Cricetulus griseus: one gene and its partner. The protein of the gene in region 2 interacts with the protein of the main gene of each other region in a pairwise test. Links are inferred from orthologs where the notes say so. Each region holds a gene or a part of one and is shown on either strand. Other genes may lie near its edges.

Evidence for each region. The genes of interacting proteins can lie anywhere in the genome.
Region 1: the proteins of Cdc42ep2 (region 2) and Arhgap26 interact in binary tests that used the Homo sapiens proteins (3 or more experiments, as listed by UniProt). The two-hybrid records come from large-scale screens. The link is inferred for Cricetulus griseus from reciprocal best matches to the Homo sapiens genes CDC42EP2 and ARHGAP26.

The regions. Positions count from the first base shown.
Region 1 is NC_048595.1:198,519,641-198,527,655, forward strand, and holds part of Arhgap26 (rho GTPase-activating protein 26), read right to left. Parts: intron 4,370-8,015; coding exon 4,265-4,369; intron 3,075-4,264; coding exon 2,945-3,074; intron 1-2,944. UniProt on the Homo sapiens protein: GTPase-activating protein for RHOA and CDC42. Facilitates mitochondrial quality control by promoting Parkin-mediated recruitment of autophagosomes to damaged mitochondria.
Region 2 is NC_048596.1:53,416,925-53,425,470, forward strand, and holds the start of Cdc42ep2 (cdc42 effector protein 2), read left to right. Parts: upstream 1-3,918; 5' UTR 3,919-4,037; intron 4,038-7,683; exon of another isoform or gene 7,684-7,789; intron 7,790-8,546. UniProt on the Homo sapiens protein: Probably involved in the organization of the actin cytoskeleton. May act downstream of CDC42 to induce actin filament assembly leading to cell shape changes. Induces pseudopodia formation in fibroblasts in a CDC42-dependent manner.

The DNA.
Region 1 (8,015 bases), on a different chromosome or scaffold from region 2:
ACAAAGTGCTATTAGAGGAAGAAGACATTATCAGTCTGCAAGGACTTCAATCAAATATTAGAGGAAGAAGACATTATCAGTCTGCAAGGACTTCAATCAATATTAGTTTTAGATGTTTACAGAGATCACATAATAGAAATGGCCACAATTACCAATACCATGTAAAGAATGGTTGCGTAGTGATTATTAATGGTTTGGAATGATTGCCAAATATAAGTATAGATATCATTTAATAATCTGAAAAGCAACACAGGGGCTACAGAGACAGCTTGGTTAATAAAGCTCTATAAGCTCGAGGACCTGAGTCAGGCCCTCGAAACCCACATAAAAATTAATTAATTAATTAATTAAGATTTAATTTTTAAAAACAGGTTTATTGGTGCACAGGTGGAGAGGGGAAGACAGGCAGAGCCTTGGGGCTTGTTGTCTAGTCTGCCTAACCTACTCAGTGAACTTCAGGCCAATGAGAAACCTGTTCCAAAAAAAAACAAGGTGAATATCACCTAAGGAATAACACCTGAGGTTAATTTCGGGCCACCACATGTACAGGCACACATATATACACCACACACACATATATACATGTGCATTCTCTCTCACCCCTTTCTCTGTCTCTCTCTCTCTCTCTGTCACACAGGCACATGTCACACAGCAATACATTAGTCATTAAAGGCAATTTGAAAAGTACCAAACATTCTCAGGGCCTGGGGAACATTCCAGTGACTACACAACACAAGGACTCCACAAGTGCTTTGTCTTAGACGATGAGGACATCAAGGTATATAAAGTAATAGATTATAGCCTGTGAGTGAAATGTTAACCTTAAGGTTTTATTGACAATGGAAAGACAGGGACAGACAAATGGTCTGACAAGTGGGCAGATGGATAGACAAGGGTGGGTAGAAAGAAGTAATGAAAGTGGGAAATCTCCATCAGTCTAGGCAAGGATCAATAGGTCACAACTCTATGGACAGAAACATAGCAAGCAGAAAGCTATTTACATAATTATAAGGTGACTTCCTCAGAACACTAGTTAGTTAACGGAAAACAGTGACCATACAGTGAAGAGACAATACAATTTCTTGATTGAATGGTGGAAATGAAGACAATAGGGGACTGGTGGGCATTAGAACAGAACAGCTCAGGAGAATGAATGTTCATGAGAGTAGTGCACATATCCACAGCCATACACAGAAAAAAGAAAGAGTGACTAGAGTAAAGCATTGAGAAACTGTGGATCTGGGTAAATTCATGCTCTCTCTCTCTCTCTCTCTCTCTCTCTCTCTCTCTCTCTCTCTCTCTCTCTCTCTCTTCTCTCTCTTTGGTTTTTCGAGACAGGGTTTCTCTGTGTAGCATTGGAGCCTATCCTGGCACTGGCTCTGGAGACCAGGCTGACCTCGAACTCAGAGAAATCCACCTGCCTCTGCCTCCTGAGTGCTGGGATTAAAGGCATGCGCCACCAACGCCCGGTCAATTCATGTTTTCTTTATAGCATTCTTGCAACTTCCTTGTAAGCTTGAAATTATTAAAAATAGTAAGTTCCAACACTATACTGTATCCTAAGGAAATGCTCATAAGTGGTGTGCTAGAAAAGCAAAAAGTAGTTGTAACAAAAAGCAACATATTCATGTCAAGAGCATGTGAAATGTTTGATTGATTGGAACTGTGTAATATAATGTGAGTATGAGAGAGCAAAAATGAGTCCACACACAGGTGAAGAATAACAACAGCCTTTGTATTACAGGGGCACTGTGACATCTATCCTTACTTTCCTGAGAGTTTGTTTCTCTACGTTACCTCCAACCATGGGCAGTGGGATGGGCTGAGGGAATCCGCACACATGGCAAGGAGAGCATCCCTCCATACTCAGGGAATGAAATACACAAATGAAGAGGCTTCTGCTTCCTATAAACCCCCTCAAGCTCATTCCTCAAAGAATAGGGGTATAAAACCCTTACCGCAGCCAATAATTCCAACCCCACTTCAGTCCCTACTGTCAGAAGAGAACACTTTTAAGCCTAGGCAATTATATGTGAGCATTAGCACTAAGTACATAACCACTAAAACAAAGTGTTTCTCTCCTGCTCTACCAGGAGCTTGCAGGAGTGAAGTCACTGCCAAAGAGGACCACAGAGAGGAACACAAAACCAGCACAAATCAGGAGTCATCCTGCTAAGAAAGCATAGAGGCAAAAGGTGTGCAAGGCAGCATACAGGTGTGCGACTCTAGAACTCAGAAGGAAAATTCAGGATGATCATGAGTTCAAGGTCAGTCTAGACTACTTAGCAAGATCCTGCTGAGGAGGATGGGACAGGCTGCCAGCTAATGGAACAACTATTAAAGGAGAAAGCTTTCACTATCTTATTCCTAGCACCTGGAGGTGCTACCCTAAGGCATATCCTCTAAGCCTTCTCCAAGGCCTTTATGGTATGAACTGTGAGTCCTCCCTAAAAACTGCATTCAAGTAGCAGCCCCTGGTGTTTCTTCCCTTGAATGCATTGCAAGGAGATGATGGGCCTTCTTCCTAACTCTCACCTATTTTTTGACTTTCCATAAAAATCCAAGTATTGGGATGGCAGAAGTTGAGAAGCAAAGGAAAAGGGCCCAAGCCATGATTGCTCTCAACTGAAAGTAGAATCACCAAATACTAGGGCATTCAATAAGGTGTGGTATGCAGGACCTTCCCAATGCCCATGTGGTTGGGGTGGAGTGCACAAGCACACTAAGACATCAAGGTTCAAAAGGAGGGGACATTAAGAAGAAAGGAACTACCTCCTACAGAGCCATAGGGAAATGTAGCATTGAAGAAAAACCCTAGCACAAAGGAAACAGAACAAAGCACTTGGAGGTGAAAAGACTGTGGACACAGATCTGCAGGGACCTCCAGAAACAACATCTGCCCAAGGCTGTGAGTGCCCCCCACCCTGACAGTCCGAGCACTTACGTTTCTCCTGCACATAGAGGTACCCTTCCATGGTGTAGGGGCTGATGGTCTTGTGCTCAAGGGGGTTTTCCTTCATCTTCTTCATCAGCGATTCCACTTCAGACCTGGTTCCTTCGAAGCGGTTTCTTGTCTGGAATGAAAGGAGTTTTGCTCAATCAATCAAATGCAGAAAAAAAAAATGAAATCTCTTAATAATTCATAAGATCAGCCTAAACAGAAACCTTAGATATAAAAGCAAATAAGGGGCATTCAGTGGTCTAGGAAATGGGCAAGTATTCACTTGTAAAAGTACATATTTGCCTTACAGTCCCATATCTGAATGAATCAAACTCAAGAAACCACCAAGATCATCCAGGAAGCATGTGAACACCCAGCCTCACTCCTCAAGAGTGAGTGGAGATTGTTGGGCCAGGAGAGGGTGCTTAAATAAGAGTTACAGACTAGAGTAACTGCTTGCACTCCTTTAGGATTATGGTCCTCACCACTCCAGTTGGAAGAAATGTAGCTTGCTCATGGCTCACAGGTGGCACCCTCCTAAAAGGGGGGTGCTGCTGGCTTTCTAGGTCATTCTCTCACCCAGAGCAGTCAGAAACCCCTGGCTTCTATTCAGGCCCACTCAGAACCCCTGAGGCATATATATATATATATATATATATATATATATATATATATATATGTTTTCTAAAACCATTTCTGACATATTCCTCAACTTCCTGTTCTCCAAGTCAACAAAGAACCACCAAGTAAGTTCCAAACTTCTGAGGCCATGAAGGACAAGCCATGCAGAAATGCCTGATCTAGGAGTACCTTGGGACTTGTGGCCAATTCCAAAGTAAGAGGAGAGCTTGCCTTATGACTTATGCCCCAAATACCCTAAACAACTCTGCACACCCAAAGGTTCCAGATTTAAGCAACAGAGGCAGCAGCATTTGGATGGCACTGACTCACATGTCCTGTCAGTCTTGCCTGGCAAGAGTATACCATTTGAGTTTTCACCCCTGGACACTCATGTAAGGCCTCAGGTGACCAGGCAGCTGCTTGCACAGAAGGCAACTAGTCTGGGCTAAGTTGGGATTTCCACTGTCAAGGGAAATTCTGACGCTGCTGTGAAAAACACACAATACCAGCAGCAACACTTCCAGGAACAGAAATGGTGCTCAGACCTGGGCCATCTTACATTCTAGAAATGTCAGATTCCCGCTGTCCTCCTCTGAACCCAGCCAGGAACCCACCCCACACACCTCATTCCAATGCTTGAGGGGAACTCTGGAGCAAACACACCCTCTCCTGTTTCCCTCTCTGGTCTCTGCCCCCACTCACATTTTGTATGCTGATGGTCAACTGTGTCTTAAAGTCACCAAAGTCCTTGGCCAGCTCATAACCATGGTGATAGAAAGTGAAGAGTCCTTGCAGGAAGGCCAGGAGCTGTGAAGAGGGAAAAAGGGCAGAGGTCACAAAGGCCGACTGAGAAGAGAACAGAAGGAGCAGGATCTGGGTTTCTAACGCTGTCTGGGAAGCATGGAACAGGTAGTAATGACACTAACATACACTGAGCAGCTCTGTGTGTGGGATGCTGTGTCCTCCATGCCCTGTATCACATCACCTATGACTTAAGTGCTAATAGGACACTCTTAAATAAGGAGGAGGCACCTTTGGAGGCTAAGTAACTTGCCCCTTACTTCACGATGATTAACAGCCAGGATTTGAAACCTGTTCTCCTTGGCACCAATGCTTACCATTGCCTAAGAACATCACCTTTTCAGAACTACTGGCTGAAGCTGCACCTCAGCTGCTGAACATTAATAACATCAGGTTGTCACATGACTCAGAATGTGTTAAGGAAGCTGGCGAGCTCTGAACCTGTAATCTAACCAGCGAAGTCAAATCACAGAAAGCCACCCAGAATAGACTTCCACCAAGGGGCACTTCTGTGCTTTCTTCAACTTTCCCACAGTAAACAATAAAAATCCCTTTATCAAGCAACCACACACTTCCCTGGCTTCAATTGTGCTAAGTCCCTTGACTCTCTTTAAATCCTCTAAGGCTAATAGGTAAGTGTATTCATGATCTAGTCTCTGTTACACAAAATGGGGAAAAAAAATAAAAACACCTGCTCACCACAGTTTATCCCAAAACTCAGATTCTCAACAACTACCCTACACCTCACCAACAACATTCCATTGTACTTCTTTACAAAGCTGACATTTTTGACATGAATATCCCAGCCACTTGCCAAGACCTCCCCAGATTGCCTGCATTCACAGCTTTGACATGAAAAAGGAGCTGTGGTAAAATATAGAAGAAATCTGGGAAGAACCTTCACTCTGTGAGATCACAGTTGTTTGCTAAGTGGTCCACTCTAACCTCCAGATCCCATCACCACCTGTTAGTCAGAAATGCATCTATTTTCCTTTCTGCTGCTGTGGTTAGCTTTTCAGCCCCTCCACGAACACATCTGTACTTATATTCACCCACTCCACTTTTCAGAGAGGCAGGTCTACTGGAGCCTGTGAAGGGATTTCTCCCTGTAGTTTGTACCTGCTTCTGGCAGGAAATGATTAGCGCCAGAGTAGGGATGCTACCAACAGGATAAACCACATGCCCAGCCCAGCCTATCAAAGGACTTTGTACTGGTGTAAACAAAATGGCAGGAATGAGTATATTTTAAGAAGAGTCACTTGTACCCCTGCAGGGATCTCACACTAGGAGAAGGAAGGGGTGTCTCTGCAGCCTAGGGCTGGCCTGAGGACAAAGATGTTATTTGAGAAGAGATTTCACAGTTTGACAACCCACCCAATCACCTTGCAGGACAGACTAGAGCTGAAACAGTTATAGGCAGGATGGCACCTTGACCAGGAATACTTAGCCATACCTCTTACCTACTTATTAAACCTAAACTTCAGGTTAGGACCTCAAAGACAGACTTTGGGGGGCAGGTGTGGCACAAGTAATAAAAATCTAGAGACAGATTTTGGAGGTTCAAGTTGAAGATCAGAAAAGAAAAGCATCCAGCCAGTAGCTGTTATCTCTGCCAAGGCTGAAATGGAGACCCTGTCTTCCCTGTGACTAGAAAATGAATCTCACATGAGAACCTTTGCTTCTTCCTTATATACCTCTCTAGTGCTGGGATTAAAAGTGTGAGTTTTTACTCTTTTAGACTGATTCACTCTCGTGTAGCCCAGGGTAGTCTTGGACTCACAGAGATCCCTCTGCCTCTGTCTCCTGCGTCCTGGGATTAAAGGTGAGTACCACCACTGCCTGGCATCTATGGTTAACTAGTGTGGCTAGCTTTGCACTCTGATCCCCAGGCAAACTTTATTAAATCATAAACAATATATCACCACAATTCCCCTTTTTGTCTAATACAAAAAGGAAGGCTACAACTAACCTAAGAAAACTATGTACAATAACTATATATAATATATACAGGTAAAAAGTATATAAACAATGTCTAGTACATTTGCATTTGACAAATTAAGAGAAAATACTCCGTTATCTATCCTAGCTTGGTGAGTCCAAAGTCTGGTACCTAATTTAACTTTCTATTCTAATTCGCATTATCAAATTATCTTTTAATGTCTCTCAAACTTTTATACTTTACATTTCCTTAGTGAGTTTCTTTTCTGAGTCTGGTAAACAAGGAAAATTATAACTATACTATCTAGTCTTCAACTGCCTCACAGAATCAAGAAGAAAATAATATCAACTGAGTAAACAGGAAGTGCGAGCAAGAGACTTCCAAAAAAATGTGTGAAATGACAGAAACAGCTGGTTGCCTGGACAGTAACCCAAGGTTCTTCTGCAATGTTTGGGACAAACTTTCTGTAAAGCAGGAATTTTGAAGAACTCGCCCTGTTCTATCCCAATCCTGACACTAAGAACAGGGCCTGTAATCTGCATTTCAGTGAGCCCTGGGGAGATTCTACTGCCCAGTACTGTTGAAACTACATTGTACAAAAGGACAGCAAGAAATAAGTGCATGCTTTTACTTCTTTACCTTCATTATATGATTCAATTATTAAAACATCTGGGGGTATATATTGGCTTTATCCCATTTTCAAATGAAGAAATAGAAACACTTAGATATAACCTCGTGGAAGGTCTCATCTAGTAAGTAGCAGAGCTTCAATTACCTCGGTAAATTTATTAAGAAAAATATAATGATGGTAATGAAGGGAGGAGGAGGAAGGGCAAGAGAGAGAAGAACCAAATGAGCCAAGACAAGCTTACCTGACAGACATGTGAGAAGTAAACATCTATTGTGTGTGAGGGTTTTGTGGTTGTTATTCAACCCAAACTAATAGGTGTGATATTTTATTTGCTAAATATATCTACTGAAAGATCAAACTCCCCCGCAACTCCTCTCCTGTCCCTTCCCTATCTCTTTCCCAACCCTCATGTCTCCATAAAGTCATCCTAACTTAGAGTCCATGCTCAGGTGCCACAGGAGGTGGAGTAGTACAACCATCAGGTCAGACTTTTTCCCACATGGCACTCTTTCACACCCAGTGGAACACTGGCCAAGTCTAGATTCCATCATGGTCCCCTCGGCAGAATCTCTGTGCCACTCTGCCTGTGACAAATCTACTGTGAGAAATCACCTTATGTAAGAACCTCCCATAGAAGATGACTGGAGCAGAGGGGCTCTGAAGCCAAGCACAGAATGAGAACAGTGCATGCTCCACTGCTTCCTAGAATTACTCCTCCGTCTGGATTGATGGAAGAGTGGGGCAAAGCAGAACTACTAGACTGTGACCATTTCCTAGCAAGATGGAAGGGAGTTGTTCCCCCCTGAATCCCACTTAACACTTTCCCTTTGCAGATCAAAAAGGGTAATAGCAGACGGCAAGAGACAGGAGCTGATGCTGACTGTACTATCTCCACCATTGGTTGTCTAACAACAGAACAGTTCCCATGTTAGGAGGAGTCCAGGGAACCAAAGTAATGGGGCTTTCCCTGCTTAAAAGAAGGCACAGCCATGGACTGCAGCTGCTCAGCGTCCTCCTGTGTGGTGGCAGAATTATCACTATTATGTGCTGGGTAGTTCAGATGAAAGGAAACAGCTACTCAC
Region 2 (8,546 bases):
AGGGTGGCTGGAAACAATTCCCATAGCACAGATGGCAGCTTCAATCTGTTCTGCTGTTCTCTACATACCCCTCCAGCCCCGCCCCGTCACCCCCCTACAGAGACTGCCCCACAGAGCCCCGGCTGCTTGCAGGCAGTGCAGTTCTGTGGAAGAGATTTCCCCCAACCCTCCACTCCTGTTAGTTCCTGCTCTGTTGCCAGCTCTGGTGCTGGAGGCTGGAACATCTCAGAACATCTGGACACCAGCTGGCATCTGGCGAGGGTCCTCATACTGTTTCATCCCCTGACAGGAAGCAGAAGAGAGAGCAAGTATTGGGGAGAGAAGGAGAAAGTGGGCTTGAATCCTTCAACCCTTCCATAGTTGGCACCAATCCTTTTGTGGGCTTAGAGCCCTCTGACCCAAATAGCCTCCAGAATGTGCCACCTCCCAACACTGTTGCTGTGGGGAGTAAATCGCCAACAAATGGCCTTTTGGGGTACATACTCAAAGTACAGCCCTCAACTCATATGACAGTGTGGCCCAGGTTCCTTTCCAGGACTGTCCTGTTTTCCTCTAAGCCACGCAGGTCAGTCCTGACCTGTCCAGGGGCACTGAGCAAGGAGTACAGCCAGCTGGAGATTAAATCCTGCCAGGTATGGTAGTACACACCTTCAAAGCCAGCACTAGGGAGGCAGAGGCAAGGAGGATCTCTCTGAGTTTGAGGCTAGCCTGGTCTATGTAGAGAGTTTCAAGCTAATCAGGGCCATATATTAAGAGGCTATCTCATCAGGCAGTGGTGTCAAACGCCAAGTCAAAGGCTGGAGGATCTGTGTGAGTTCAAGGCTAGTCTGGACTACAGGGCTAGTTCCAGGACAGCTAGAGCTGCTACACAGAGAACCTTGTCTCAGGAAAAAAAAAAAAAAAAAAGAAAAAGAAAAAGAAAAAAAGAAAGACACCGTCTCAAGAAACAGCAAAAAAAGTTAAAATTCTAAACCTTCCTTTTTACTCATTTCCCAATGATACTGGAACAAATTAACACAAGGTTGGTGGTTTAAAAGAATAAAAACTTGCCGGGCGTTGGTGGTGCATGCCTTTAATCCCAGCACTTGGGAGGCAGAGGCAGGCGGATCGCTTTGAGTTCGAGGCCAGCCTGGTCTCCAGAGCGAGTGCCAGGACAGCCTCCAAACCAATGCAGAGAAACCCTGTCTTGAAAAACCAAAATAAATGAATGAATAAATAAATAAATAAATAAATAAATAAATACTGGGCTGCTCAAGCCATCTGGTCATGGTTCCTGGCAATTCACAAACCTATAAACACCCAGGAGGCCACCTATACACATCCCCACACAGGGGCAGACATATACACATAATTTAAAAATCACACAAATTCATTACCATGTTGTGTGGTTAGAAGCCCTGTGATGTTAAAGTCAAGGAATTAGCACAGATGTTCTGGAAGCTTCAGGAGAGTCTGTTTGCTCTTGTCCTCTCCAGCTATTGGGGCGTTCAGAGTTCCTTGGCTTGTGGCCTTCCTTTCACCTCTAAGAATAGCACCATAGTATCTTTCTGGCTTGCCCTTTCCTTCCTTTCATTTTAAAAAAAGAATTATTTATTGATATGTGTAGAGGTGGGAATGGGTTCTTTCCTTCCACCCAGGTCATCAGGCTTAGGGATAATGCACTTTAGTTCATGAGTGCTTAGGTAGCATATGTAAGGCCCTGGGTTCTGTCCTCAGCACTGCATAGACAGGACAGATCTGTGGGATCTGTGATCCCATCACTTAGAAGGTGGAAGCAGGAGGATCAGAAGCTGAACTATTTCATTGTTACCTGCCCCTCCCCCCCCACATTTTTCTTGTATTTGACACAGGGTCTCACTATGCAGCCCAGGCTGGCGTGTAATTCACTGTAGACCAGGCTGCTCTTAAACTCTGCCTCTGCTTCCCCCGCTCTCTAGCACTGAGATGGCAGGCATGTGCTGCTAGGCCTAGCTTGTGGACCTTCTTTCATTCTTTTGTCTTTTCTATTTTTAAGGGCCCTTGCAATTAAACTTGTCCCATTGAGGACAATCTTTATTTCTTTAATAATTGACAGCAGAGCTGAGCAGTGGTGGCTCACTCCTTTGGCCCCAGCACTCAGGAGACAGAGGCAGGTGGATCTCTGTGAGTTTGACACAGGCTTGCTCTACATAGTGAGCTCCATGCTAGCCAGAGACACATAGTGAGACTCTGACTCAAAAAATAAATTACACTGATTTTTGTGGACGTGGTGGGCATGCATGTCTGCTGAAGCTGGACATGGAGGTCAGAAAACAACATTTAAAAGTTAGTTCTCTCCTTCTGCTATGAATGCCCCAGAAATCAAACTCAGGTTGTAAGGCATGACAGCAAGCACCCTTAGCTACCGAGTCCTAACTCATAATGATCCTCTTTTATTTTTGGACTTGAATTAACTTTATGGCTGGGGAGAATAACCTTGAATTCCTGATGTTCCTGCTTCCACCTTCTGAGTGCTGGGATCACAGACTTGTACCATCCATCCTGTCTATGCAGTGCTGAGGAAGGAACCCAGGGCCTCATACATGCTACTTAAAACACTCTATGAACTAAATAAAGTATATGCCTAGCCCAGGATAATCTCTGTTCTAATGTCAATTGAGCAGGGCGTGGTGATTTACATATATAGTCCCCACTCTTTGGGAGATTGAGGATGGAGGACTGCTTGAGCCCAGGAGTTCTGCTTATCATAGTTCCCCGGGTAATTGAAATTCTCCCTTCCCACATAACAAGCGGTCATAGGTTCCAGAGGTTACAATGTGGAGATCTTGATCTAGGTGTGTGTGTGTACGTGTACACACATACATATGCATACATGCAAGTGTGGCTGGGGATTAGACAGAGGGATTAACATACGGGGAAACTCAGGGAGCTCCTCAGAACTGTATTTCCTAGCCCAGAACATGGACATCTTTAGGGAAGCGTGACTCATAGTCCTTCCCATTCTCCCCTCCCCCCTGGCTTAGCTGACACATTCCCCCACCCCAGCATCCTTCCCTCACATACACACCCCCTTTCTCCGTTTGCTATCTGGAAGCCAAGCATTCTGGCTCCTTTCTTCCCAGAACTGTCCACCTTTTCTTTTACCTCACTCCTTTTTTTAGCACTTATCCACCTGAAAGGGTATCATCTTGTGCCTGGGACCTTGACTTTCTTGAGTCCCGACCCCTCCCTAACCACAAGTAGACATTCAACAAATTACTCCACTTACTTACAAAAACGGAGCAATGACAAGTTCCCCTCGGTCTACCTCAGCAACTTTAGGACCTGCCCTTTAATAACTGTTTCTGATCCCGTGTCCCTGTATGAATGAACGAATCTCTGTACTAGCTCAAGCCCACCTGATAATCACCTAGCAGGACAGCAAACACAGGCATGCCCAGTCTCTCTAGGTCTTTCTCGGTCTGTCTCGGTGTTTCTGTTTTTCTCTGCGCCGCCCTCTCCCCGAACTTTCTCTCTCCCTCTTTCCATCACTCTGTCTCTCCTAGTTTAGAGCAAACTCTTAAAAGTGTTCCTAAGTTTGTAAGACACTTGCAAAGCCCAATTCATTCCCGTAGAGTCACAGAATACACTAGTGCGGACGCCTCCCGGGTCTCAAGAGTCCTTCCGACAAGGAAACCCATCCAAGGACGCTCAAGAGATTTCTCAAGAATTCGCTCTTCCGGCCTTTGCTGGCCCAGCGCTTCTTCTAGCCTAAAGTTTTAACTCCAACATGCACAGCTGGAGTCCTCAAATCCACCACTGCTACTCTTGGCGAGTGCCCTGAGCTGCTGAAGGCTGAGGCTCTGGAATCTTGCAGCGGAGTCTGCAGAACTGAGAACCTGGGCGGTGCCGCGGTGGGAGGAGATGTGTGGGAGGGGACTGGAGAGGAGCGGCCCGGGATTGGCCTCGGGCGCTGGGGGTGGGGCTTAAGGCCCGAGGTCCGCGCTGTAAGTTCCCAGGTCCTCCCTGGCGCTCTACCCCAGCCGCGCAGCTCTGCAGCCTTGCCCGCGCTCCTCAAGGTGAGTTTGGGCTGAGGTTTTTCAGGCCTCTGGTGGCTTCTTGTAGAGTCCCATCCAGGGTGGCGCTCGGTCCCGGCCCAGACCAGAGACCCCTTAGCAGGCGCCGGGGTCCCCGCCCCGGTACCCATGACCTCCCACAGCGCCCAGGGCGCTGTGCTGTCAGTTTCGTAGCTCCGGGCTGCATACAGTGTTCTCTGCTGAAACTCCGGGACCAGGGAGCATCTTCTCCTTGGCCCGCGTCCCCGCCTGGGCTGGAGGCCGTATTTTTAGCGAATGGTGAGGTGTCCTCCTATCTTTAGCTGCAGTGTTACTGAAACGGATCCGGGCCGCGCTGGGCAGCTCTTGGCTGGGGAACTGGAGGGGTCCGCGCGGGAACACGAGTCAGGGCTGAGCAGCCGGACTCGGCGGGAGGGCGGGGGCCTGTACGTCCGAAACCTGGCGGTGCGCCAAACAGACACTGAGACCTCGCCCAGGCCGGGAAGCTCAGACAAGGCTCCTCCCAGAGCTTGGGGACCCGGACAAGGTCCCCGATCCTCGCAATTCAGCCCTCACCGTGGTCTGATTGTGCAACCCAGAGAAAAAGGCCCTGTGGGTGATACACCTCGGGAACTTGAGCGCGCAGCTCCTCGGTGGGCGTCTGCCTGGAGCCGGTGTGCTCGGTGGGACCCTAAAACGCTGGGTGATAGCGGGGGCGCTCGCGCCACCTAGCGACCACGGATCCTAGCGCTTCTCTGCACTGGGACCCAGGGAGGTGGTCTGCTGCAGGAGAACCAGATTCTGAGATGGCCCTGGAGGAGACCAAGAGGAGGTGGCCAAGAGGAGACCCATACCTGGGGACTAAGAAGGGTTCAATTTTCGTTTTTCTTGCAACCAAGGAGAGCTGAAGGGTTTGAGAAAGCCCCTGCAGATATTTGCTAAATATCCTTTGATAGTGGCTGTCCACATACACATCTATTTATACAGAGCCTCTTGTTTCCAGTATCGCAATGGGTCAGCCCATTTTAAAGATGGGGACGGTGAGCCCAGTTCCAGAGAGGAAAGGTGCATTAGAGTCCCAGGTGGAACTAGATTCCAAACCATTCCTTTTGGACTGGCAAGATGTCTCAACAGAAGTCGCTTGCTGAGCAAGCTTGGAGATGAGTTCTATCCCCAAAACCTGTAACGATGCAAGGAAATAACCGGCTCCCCAAAGTTGCCCTCTGACCTCCACACGCATGCCATAGTACATACTAGCTTGTGCATGAGCGTGTGTGCTCGTGCACACGCGCGTGTACACACACACACACACACACACACACACACACACACACACACACACCATGCATACTCACACAATAACAATAAATAAAACTTTTTAAATTTTTGTTTGCTTGTTTTTTAGAGGCAGTTTTTTTAGTTCTTAGAGGAAGGCAGATTTCTAAGTTCTACTGTCCTGTTCTACAGAGTGACTATCAGCCAGGACTGTCAGGACAACTGGTTACATGGAGAAATCCTGTCGAAAAAACAAACAAAAACCCCTTTTTAGTAAGCATTTAAGAGAAAGGGCAAAAATCACACCTAGAGCTGGGCATGGTAGCATACCTTTCTTTTCTTTTCTTTTTTCTTTTTTTTTTTTTTTTTTTTTTTTGAGACTTGGATGTTCAACAGGGACTCACTATGTAGCCCTGGCTGTCCTGGAACTCACTATGCAAACCAAGCTGGTCTGCATGGATCTACCTGTCCCTGCCTCTGCCTCCCAAGTGCTAAGATTAAAGACATTATCCTGCCAGGCCAGGTGGCACACTTTTATTTTTGGTTTTTTGAGATAGGGTTTCTCTGTGTAGCAGCCTTGGCTGTCCTGGAACTCACTTTGTACACCAGGCTGGCCTTGAACTCACAGAGATTTGCCTGCCTCTGCCTTGCTAGCACTGGGATTAAAGGTGTGCGCCACCACTGCCCAGCTTCAGGTGGTACACTTTTAATTCCAGTACTTGGGAGATGGAAGTAGGCAGATGTCTGTGAGTTTAAGGCCAACCTGGTCTACATAGTGAGATCCTGTGACAAAAGATAAAAAGCCATTAGTTTTGAAGTATGTATGGAAGGAGGGGAATTTCCATGAACATCCAGAGTGAGCAGGGCTAAATATTCTCCATGACCAGAAGGGATCTGCCTCCAGGAAGTCATTTTCTCTGAGGGAGGCTCAGTATTGCTGTCCAGGGCAACCCACAGAGCTGGGATGGCCTCCATCTGCTCCTCCCCATTGCTGGAGGAAGCTCCTCCTGGCAGCCTTGATCTAATCAGAGCTCATTCTTGTAGCTCTGAACACTTGCAAGTTGGGGAAGTGGCAGCCAAGGGATGTGACTACATAGAGGAAGCCTGGAGACTTGCTAATGCCTCTTCTGTTTCCCATCCATAGCACCATGGTATGGTCCACTGCCTGGAAGCCACGTGGCTAGCCTTGGTACCAGGTGCCTTTTCTTACTAGCTGGATGACCCTGATGAAGCTCCTTAATATCTCTGAGGTTACACTCTGGTGGCTATTTAGGACAGTAATGGCACCCACCCCAACGTGGCTTAGAGAGTTAATGTGTAAGGAACCCCCATGGCAGGCTGGAGCCTCTGATCTGTGGTTTCTAGATCTTCTATTTAGGATTGCTGGTTGTTATTCCCAGCTTTCTCCTGGGTGGTTGATACTGGCCCCACCCTTCCTTTTAGCCTCTGTTCTCCTCACATCTGGATTTGGGTGGGTACATCTGGCTCAGAGTGAGACAGCTGTCAGGGACGCCCAATTTGCTGTGGAAACACCCAAGCTGTCTTGGAGCTCTAGTGTGATGGAGTGAGGATGGGGGAAGGACCTGGCCCGGGCTATAGGCAGATCTCACCAATCATCCCAGCTCTCTCTCACAGCATAAATCAGTGATGGGATTGTAAGATTTAGGGTGCATTTTTTTTTCCCACAGCTCCGCTAGAATTAGCTGGAATCATTCCTTTGTTTCCTGTTGGCTACAGGTGCTCTGGAGGCTAGGGATGTCCAGCCTCCATGGTTCACCATGACTGGCCTAGGGTGTCCGGCCTTGGGGTGGGGTTTCCTGAACAAGGGCCTGTGTGGGATGGTGTCACTTAGGACTGTGCCCTGCCTGCATCCTTCTGCCTCCTTCCTGCCCTTCCTGATTACCCTTAGCCTACCCAGGATGGAGACTGAGGCAGAGGAAATGGGGGATGTCTCATTTACTCAGGTATGGGCTAGTCTAGAGGAGGCTTCATGTAGGAAAATGGGCTCATCTGGCTTCAACGCTGGCCCTGCCCCTGGCTGTGATCTGAGCTTGGATAAGTTTCCTTGCCTTTTGTACTGGGTTCTGAACATGGAGTCAGCTGAGATTGTAGGGGGCCAGCCAGGCCCTCCACACACCAACCCCCACCAAGGGACTGGAGGGTATATGGGCTCCACTTCTGCTTCCTTCTTCGTTGAACCAGCATGACCCCCATTCACAGGGTATTTTTTCCACCTTAAAAACAGTTTTGCTTTTTTTCCCCTGACTACATAAACAATACATGCTTATTAAGAAACTGATAGCTGGAGTGTAGTTTTTTGGATTTTTATTTATTTGTTTTGTGTTTTTAGACAGCACCTCAAAAAAGAAAACTACATTTATATAAAACTGAACAAGTGCTCACTGTAACAGCACATACATTAAATCAGAACAATACAGAGATGGTTAGTGTAGGTCCTGTGCAAGGATGACACTCAAATTTGTGAATCATCCATTATATTATTATTATTATTATTATTATTATTAGTTCTTTGAGACAGGGTTTCTCTGTGTAGACCTGGCCATCCTGGAATTGTCTCTGTAGAACAACTCAGAGATTCACCTGCCTCTGCCTCCCTAGTGCTGAGATTAAGTCGTATGCCACCACTGCCCGGCCTGCCCTGCTTTTTTTTTTTTTTAATTTCTTATTTTATGTGTATAAGTGTTTTGCCTATATATGTTTGCATGTTCCTTTATGCATGATACCTGCGGAAGCCGGAAGAGAGCATCAGATCCATGGTTACTTGTGGTTGTGAGCTGCCATGTGGGTGCTGGAAGAACAGTAAATGTTCTTAACCACTACGCCATCTCTTCAGTGTCTTCCACCGTATCCTTTTATTTTTTTAAGAATCTGGGCATAGTGGCATTCACCCTCAATTCCAGCACCCAGAAGACAGATATAGACAAATCTCTGAGTCCCAGGCCAGTCAAGGTGAGACTCAGTCCCCCCTCAAAAATGTCTAAACAAGAGAGAAGTCAGCCTGAAATTATAACATCACCAGCATTTAGGCCAACACCCTGTCACACACACGTATATTATAGATCACCTGCTGGGAACACCTTTCCTTCCAAACCAGTGACCACACACTTCCTGTTTCTTTCTCATTCCTCATGTTAAGATAGGATCCTATACAGGCTGGCATATATGGAGTATGGATGGCAGGAGCATTGGTTAGTCAATGCTTTTAATAAATGGTACCCTCTCAGGCCTAGAGAGATG